Macaca fascicularis: one gene and its partner. The protein of the gene in region 1 interacts with the protein of each later gene in a biochemical or structural test. Links are inferred from orthologs where the notes say so. Each region holds a gene or a part of one and is shown on either strand. Other genes may lie near its edges.

Region 1 (4,307 bases):
TCTCTCCGGGCGTCGCTGGACGGAGCGCTGACCCAGCTCTGGCGTCCTGTACGCCCAAGTCCTGGACCTCCTAGCCCTGACTCATCGTCCAGAGTGCACCGGGCGGCGGCGGTTGCGGGCCCCGGGGCATGCTGGGAGCTGTAGTTCCCTGGAGCCCGGCCCTGCGTTCCGCTGACCTAGGGGGATCTCCAAGCGTCTCTCGTCTCCCCCAAACTCCTTAATCCCGCCCGTCCGAACTAGAGTCTAGTCCTCCGACGGGGTGATGGGATAGGATGGGACAGAAGAGGAAGGGGCTTAAGTCACTGCAGCCAGAGGGATGGAGGTGGACTGAAGGGAGGGCTTCTCCGGTGGGGTTAGAAGAGAGAAGTAGGGAAAGAGAAGTGTAAGGTAGATGGCAGAAATAGAGGCACCGAAAAACAGACTCTAAGGTTCCTGATGAAATCTGTCTCGGCCAACACAAAAGGGAGGGCACGGTGGGCGGGGGGTGGGGGCACCCAAGCTAGGGTGTGAGTGCCCTAAGTGTATTCTTCTGAGACGTAAACCATTTCACTAACTCTTGAAGCAGCTACAGTTTCCCAGTGGGAAGGCCCCGCCAGGTTCGTTGCGCTTCCCTTAATAAAGCCTCTGAGATCTTCCTGAACATTCCCTTCTGTCTCTGCCCTCTGTTACTTCCAGAGACCATGTGCCCAGGCAGATGGAATCCTCCCGGGCCTGAGAGGAACTGCAGGAATTCTCCTGCCTCTTACCTGTGAAACCCCAACTTCTCTAGCCCTAGGTCAGGAAGTTCCAAACAATTTCTACCCCTCTCTCTGCAATTCTCATTGGGGTGAGAGGAGGCCCTGGAGGAGAGAGAGCTGGGGTCAGCTTCTTTTTGAGCTGCTGGAGCCCTCTGTGAGGAGGCCCTCTTTGCTGGCTTCTTAGGAGAGTGTGGCTAGGTTCTGCCTGCCTATGGGGAGACGGGCCAGGGTGTGTGCAGCAAGATGGTGGCGGCGCTGGTGCCTTGGGACCTGGGGGAATGGGACAGCTGGTCGGTTCAGAGATGGCCTACTTTACTCACAGCTGGAATTTAGTGGGGAGAAGCAGCTCAACTCCAATCCTGGAGGATTAGGGAGATTAAAGTGAGAGAAGAGAGAGATGTCCCAGAGACCAAGAGGTGAAAAACAGGGGTCCTTGTGGAGGGGAGGTCTGGGATTGAAGTGGGGGGCTGGGGCTCAGGGATCCTTCTCCCTGAATCTTTCCATAGGGCTTGGGGTGAAGGGCACAGGCTGGGGAGATGAAGTGACAGTGTGTTCGTCTTCCTGTGTTGGCCTCTTCCCTGTCCCAATTCTCCTTGCATCGCACTAGCTCCCAGGTCAGCCCTCTGGCTCCTGGCACCCCCGCTGCTGCGGTGGGCACCCCCCCTCCTCACAGTGCTGCATAGCGACCTCTTCCAGGCCTTGCTGGGTGAGTAGCCCGTTTTCTGAGGGACCTGGGCCTCCAAGGGCTGTCCGTTACTGAACTTCGGGGGCTGTTTGGGAGCCTGGAAATCATTTGGTCCAAGCTGGAGCCCCAAGCAGGGTCATGCCTATGGTGTCCTCCATGAGTGTGGACCAGCCTTGGCTGAAAGGGCTCCTCCCTTGCCAGCCGGACAGCAGCGGTGATGACAGGGGTGATGTGTCTGGAGAGGCCTGGAATGGGGAGGTAACTCAGTTCTGTTCTGTGGCAGACATCCTGGACTATTATGAGGCTTCCCTCTCAGAGAGTCAGGTAAGGAGGTGGGGGCGAGCGCCTTACTTCCTGAGGGGCAGGCAGGGCTGGAGGGGTGAGGCAAATATTGCTAATATTATATGGAAACTTGGGGGCCCTGCAGACGAAAGACTGAGTCGGTGGCCCAGGGACTTGGGGCACCGAGAATGCACTCTCTGTGGTCCTGTACCCCCTCTCCCTTTCTTCCTCCTTTTCTTTGGCTGCCTCAATTTCAGGCACTAAAGAGTCTAAGGCTTTTTAGGTTTCCCCCTGAGAAACCTGAGGCAGAACTAGGCCCCCAGGGATTGCCTCCTGCAGCCCCTCCCTCATACCCGACCCCCTACCGCCTGTCGTGGCCTCCCTCCCGTATTCAAATAACCATGGGTGCTCCCAGCCCAACTATAGGTGCTTCCTTCTCTAAGAAATGAAATCCAGCCTCATCGTCTTTGCTGTCATCGCTGGTGGCTGGCCAGGTCTCCATGTTTGCCTCAGGGCCTCTGTGCTTCTGCTTCTATCTCCTTTCCCATTATCCGGGTTCCTGCCAGCACGGAAGGAGTTAACTCTGCCAAGGCACCCCCCCATTCTGGCTCCTAGCTCCCTCCCTCCCTCCCCCTGCTTCCTCTCTCCTCCTCTCTCCCCTTCCCTCTTCGGCTCCACGGCTCCCTCGGCCGCTGCCGTTTCCAACCCCCCCACCCCACTCCCCCGCCACGGCCCCTAGCCCCTGGCCGTTTGGCAAGATCCCCCCCTACCCCGGGGCTCCCCGAAATCCAGTTCCCCTCCCCCACCCCAGCTCATGCCCCAGCCCCCGAACTCCGGGGCTGCCAGCCCCCGGTGCCCCCGCCCCTCCTGAGAATCGGGGTGTGCTCCCCAAGCCCCCTCCCCTCCATTGGGGAGCCCCTTTTAGGGCCCCCTTCCCTCCCCTCCCACGCTCCCCTCCCCTTCCCTTCTCCAACCCCCTCCTTCCCCTCTCACCCCTCCCCCCATCCTGGCCCCCCCTGCAAAAGTGGGGTGCGGAGGGGGGAGGGGTGAGAACCCACGGAGGGGAGGAACGAAACTCCGATGAAGTCAGAGCCCCTTACCCGCCGCCGCGGCCAGGCCCCCCAACATGGACTGTCTCTGTATAGTGACAACCAAGGTAAGCATGATGGGGGGGCTATAAACTGGGGGGAGGGCATGAGTTTGTGGGGAGGGGTTAGTAGGCCTTATCTGGGACTGGCGTCCCTGGAGTGGCAGCATCAGAAGTAAGATGTATTTGGGGGTCTTAATTTAGTTTTGGGGTTCACATCTGAGAAAATGCTGGATTTGGCCACAGGTGCCCCCTGGAGTGATCCCTTTGTACCTGTAGGGAAATGGAAAATTTAGGATATTCCATGGTTTGGGGGGCCTGGCGGGTTTCGGGGTTCACCAGCGCTGTTTGAGGGAGACTTATTTAAGGAGAAGCCTGGCTCACAAGGAAGTCCTGCTGGTGTATGTGGGAAGGTGGGCTATGCTGGGGGGGTTCCTCTTTCCTCCCCAGGGAAAAGCTGGCTTCCAAGGGCCTTGTCCAGTTTTGGGGGGCTCCTGGCATGGGGGTAAAGGTTATTGGTTGTGAGTGCCTGACTGGTCTGGGGTGTTAGCTGGCAGGGAAGGGGTGGGCCTTCAGACTCTGGAACAAGCATCTCGTGGCTGCATTTAGGGATGCACTCTCAATTTGAGGGAACTGTTAATTTAGGGTTCAGTCATATAGAATGGAGGTAGTTAGAAGTTGTCAGAGGGCTGGGGCCCTGGCATGGGATTACCTGAGGGAATGGACCAGGTGAGGCAAGGATGTGGGGGTATTCCCATAGGAGGCAGAAGATTGCAGCAGCCGAGCTTGCCAGCCTCTGAGGAGGAGGATGAGAGGCTTAGGGAGAGAGGGGATTTGAGGAGGGGGACCGGGTGGGTGGTGCACAATTTGGGGGTGGCCCAAAGGCAGGGGCCCAATGTCCCCATCTCCTCCCACACTGTATCTAGCCCTGGTCAAGAAAGAGGGAGAAGAGCAGATGGGGGGACTGTTCCAGATACCCCTGACGCTTGGGATCAAGATGGGGGAGGACACCAGGATTTAAGGGTCCCTGAGGACTTATGACCGAGGGTACTGAGGTTACCGGGGTGAAAAGGTGTAGGAGGAGGGCAGGGCTGGCAGCGGTGGGGATCTGTGCAAGAGTGTCCCTCTGGTTGGAGCCTGGCAAAGGCAGGAGATCCTGGATGGAGCACAGGCGAGCTCCTGGTGGGATGCGGATACCTAGGCTCTGCTTGGAGACTCTGGGACTGGAGAGCTGGATGCCTGGTGTGTGGAGGGAGGCTTGGGCGGGTGGCAGGCAGCTGGGGGCTGGGGGGTGGGACAGGAAGTGGGGGCCGGGGGAGGCGGGGTCCGGGTGAGTCACAGGCTGGGGAGGGGGTTATATTTAGTGGGAACTGCAGCTTTTCATGGGAGGGAGCTGAGGACACACATGTTCCCTGCCACAAACTCACACATGTGTGTACACATGCATTGTGCACGTGTGAGGATGGTTGGAAGAGATTGGGGGCTGAGGACCTTTAGATTTGGAGCCCCCACACTC
Region 2 (3,566 bases), on another chromosome or scaffold:
AGGCTGCCAGCAAGCCCTTTGTGAGGCGTGCAGTGTCATGCCTGCCACACTCGGGAAGTCACACAGTGTGAGAAGGGATGGAAAGGGTAATTACAAGGTTCTTCCTAGACCCCTGTTCATTCTCTCACACTAACCTCCCTCTGGTCTTTTTTTCCCTGCATCCACTTTACTTTAGTGGCATCCCACTCTTAATAGATAAGACTTAAAAATGAATGTAGGTGAATTTTTAAAACGTATTTGTTTATCTTTTTCATAAGGTATACCTTTTTTAAAAATAAGATACCCCTGAAGTCTGCCAAAGAAGCCTTTCACCACAGTACAAGAGGTCCAAGTGGTGGCCTTTCACCGTTGAAAATCCAACCCTTCAAATAAAATGTTAAAATAATTTTAAAAATAATTTTTGATATCCCAGCATTCCAGAAAAATAACCCAGCCTTTCCTAACTGGCACATCAGACGGAATCAGAAGGCTTAGCTGGTATAAGCCATTCCAGGGAGAAGTCAAGAAAAATAATTGTTGCATTTTTATTACTCAGTACCCAATATTGAGTATATAATGGGCTGACCTTTCTCTACTCAGTTTATAAGAACAGCATTCTCTAATGACTTGCACTGATTGAGAATGTTTACGAGGTTCTTATTGGTTAGGCATCAGTGTATTGTATCAACAGGTACCCTCCTGACAGTGGAGACAGGAGTTTAACTTACTGACTTGGCTCACTTACCTTTATGGCTGTTTGCTTTTCTGCCTCTGCTTTTGGAAATGGTCGAGAGTCAGAGTCAAGGAGTATTTTGCCCTGTCCTCTACGTGTTAGGAAGGGTGTTTCAGAGGCCCAGGATTCTTGCTATTAGCTGTAGTGGTGTTATGGAGGATAAGTTCTTTATCTCTCACTTTTGGAACCCCATCTTGAACGCCAGCTTGGAGTCCCAAAGGAAGCAATTGTTTTAAGTAAACTAGTTGCTGTGTGTCTTTTCTGTTGTGCTCAGCTTACAGTTATAGAGGACCTCAGGATTTCAATTCTTTTGTCCTCGAGCAGCATGAATATACAGGTAAAATATTTCCAAAGTGTCATGGTAAGTAACACGTGATTGCATCCATGCCTGTCTAGGTAATGTAGACCAAGCTAGGTTAGCCACACTTGGCAATGAATGAATTTCATAAATTTAATTCATATAATCCAAATTTTTCCCCCCAAACCAAAAGTTGATTCTGAACTTTGCTGCGTTGTTCATGGCCTTTGGTTTGGTGGTACTTGGCTATGCTAATGTGTATGATGTGACAAGTTGTCACCAGCTGCAAGCTTTATCCATCAGCCACTTAAGTTTCTGACCTGCTGTCTATCATATAGACTCTTAACAAGCTTACTGCTGAAATGCAGAGTTTGCTGGTCAGTGAACTGAAAGATGCAATGGCAAGCCATCTTCATTTGTCACCATGTGCTTGTTTCTGCTTAGTGCCTGCACCATAATGTCCTATGCTGTATTCCAGAGCCAACATGCCATCTCCCAGCAGTATCAAAGGTACTGCCAGCTTTCCGAGAGAGCCCCAGTGGGAGATTAATGCGGCAGGATCCAGTGGTTCATTTGTCTCCAAACAAACAAGGGCATGTAAGTTAACTGTAAACTTAAAAAAATATTAGATTCCTAGCAGTGTACCTTCCTTGCACTGTGAAAATGCTCTGCTGTTTTCTCTACATGGCCAAAGAGGAAATCATTCTGGCAAAGGGTGGTCGTTTGCTGCCATGGCCTTGCAGTTTCTGCTGCTATGGCCTTTCGATTGCTTTGAGATAAATTGTAATTCCTCATTGCTGTGCTTCTGCCACACCCACAGGTCTGGTCATCTGATTCAATCACTAACAATCCTGGAATGTTAGGAATGGAAATGTATTAGAAGTTGATTTTTTTTTGCTTACACAATTGCAAGCATGAGATGTGGTTAGAGTGTCAGTCCTGCTCCAGCCATGGGAGGACTCCAGCAGGACTGATGCTCCAACCATATCTTTGACTCTGCTGCAGTAAAGGAGGAATAGGAGACAGACAGCTTCCCCTGTGCCTCCTCTACCGCTTCTCTTATCTTTCATAGCCATACACATTTCATCCTTTTGCTATAGTAATACACACTTCCTTCTCACTTACAGTAAAATTGGGAATATGAGGTTATCATTCTCCAACCCCCCTCTTATTCTTTTTTTTCCTCACTCTTCTTCCCTGATACTGCTAATGGGATGGGATGCCCTCCCCATGCGGTTGATTTCCTTGGTGTGTCTGTTCACTGGAATGTGTATGTTTATATTCACGTCATTCTATAGAATGAGGAAATACTGTATTTCATGCTTACTAGTTCACTATGGAAGATGCCCAGAGAACTTTAAATGAGAGATGCATGTAAGTTTTGCTGTAGAAAAATGAATATTGAGCCAAAAAAAACAAGGGAGAGTGAGCATGCCCTGCACTTTGCTCTGAAGAAAAAGATTTGCTGAGGAAAATCTTTCTTTTTTTTTTTTTTTTTTTTTTTATTATGAGATGGAGTCTCGCTCTGTCGCCCAGGCTGGGGTGCGGTGGCGCGAACTCAGCTCACTGCATCCAGCCTACTGAGCAGAATCTTTCTATGAGGAAAATATTTACTGAGACAAGTTGTGACAATGTGATATTGTCACAATTCTACTTGTAAATGATAGGTTATCCCAACTGATCTATAAATTTCTCCTCATTAATAATTTTTATACTGATTACATGATAAAATAATATTTTGGACAGGTTGGGCTAGATAAAATATATTATTAAAATTAATTTCACATGTTTCTTTTCTACTTTTTAAAATTTGGCTACTAGAAAATTTAATATTACATGTATAGTTCCCATTATGTTTCTGTAGAAATGTATTATATACTTTACACTCTTGGTACATCTCAATTCAAACCAGCCATGTTAGAAGTACTCAGTAGCCACACATGACTAAGGGTCACCAGATTTCCCAGCACAGGTCTGGAGCTAAAGAAGTTCTGTCCTATTAAGAATAAATGAAGGTTTTATTACAGCACTTAGTAAGTTGTTATTGAGGAAAGCTAGAGTAACACCAATAAAGTAACTGGGATTGATTCTTTTTTCAAGGGGAAGAGATGTTTCACTTTGAGGTGAAACTGGTGGCTGGGTGCGGTGGCTTACCCCTGTAATCCTGGCACTTTGGGAGGCTGAGGCAGGTGGATCACTTGAGGTCAGGAGTTCGAGACCAGCCTGGCCAATATGATGAAACCGTCTCTACTAAAAATACAAGAAATTAGCCAGGTGTGGTGGCACACACCTGTAGTCCCAGCTCCTCTGGAGGCTGAAACAGGAGAATCGCTTGAACCCAGGAGGCAGAGGTTGCAGTGAGCTGAGATCATGCCACTGCACTCCAGCCTGGGCAACAGAGCAAGACTCTGTCAGAAAAAAAAAAGAAAGAAAGAAAGAAAGAAACTGGCATATCCTACTCCTGCCCCTCCCCTTAGCCAATGAAGAGCCTGCTCCTTCCTCCACCAAAAGACACACACACAAACACATGCACACACACAGTTCCTTCTCTGTTCT

The links. The genes of interacting proteins can lie anywhere in the genome.
Region 2: the proteins of DLG4 (region 1) and SIPA1L1 form a complex in vitro, tested with the Homo sapiens proteins (2 studies listed by BioGRID and IntAct, with this or other methods). The link is inferred for Macaca fascicularis from reciprocal best matches to the Homo sapiens genes DLG4 and SIPA1L1.

Annotation. Positions count from the first base shown.
Region 1 is NC_088390.1:7,264,670-7,268,976, reverse strand, and holds the start of DLG4 (disks large homolog 4), read left to right. Parts: upstream 1-1,443; 5' UTR 1,444-1,560; coding exon 1,561-1,746; intron 1,747-2,339; exon of another isoform or gene 2,340-2,830; coding exon of another isoform or gene 2,831-2,860; intron 2,861-4,307. UniProt on the Homo sapiens protein: Postsynaptic scaffolding protein that plays a critical role in synaptogenesis and synaptic plasticity by providing a platform for the postsynaptic clustering of crucial synaptic proteins.
Region 2 is NC_088381.1:139,586,501-139,590,066, forward strand, and holds part of SIPA1L1 (signal-induced proliferation-associated 1-like protein 1), read left to right. Parts: intron 1-986; coding exon 987-1,049; intron 1,050-1,488; coding exon 1,489-1,607; intron 1,608-3,566.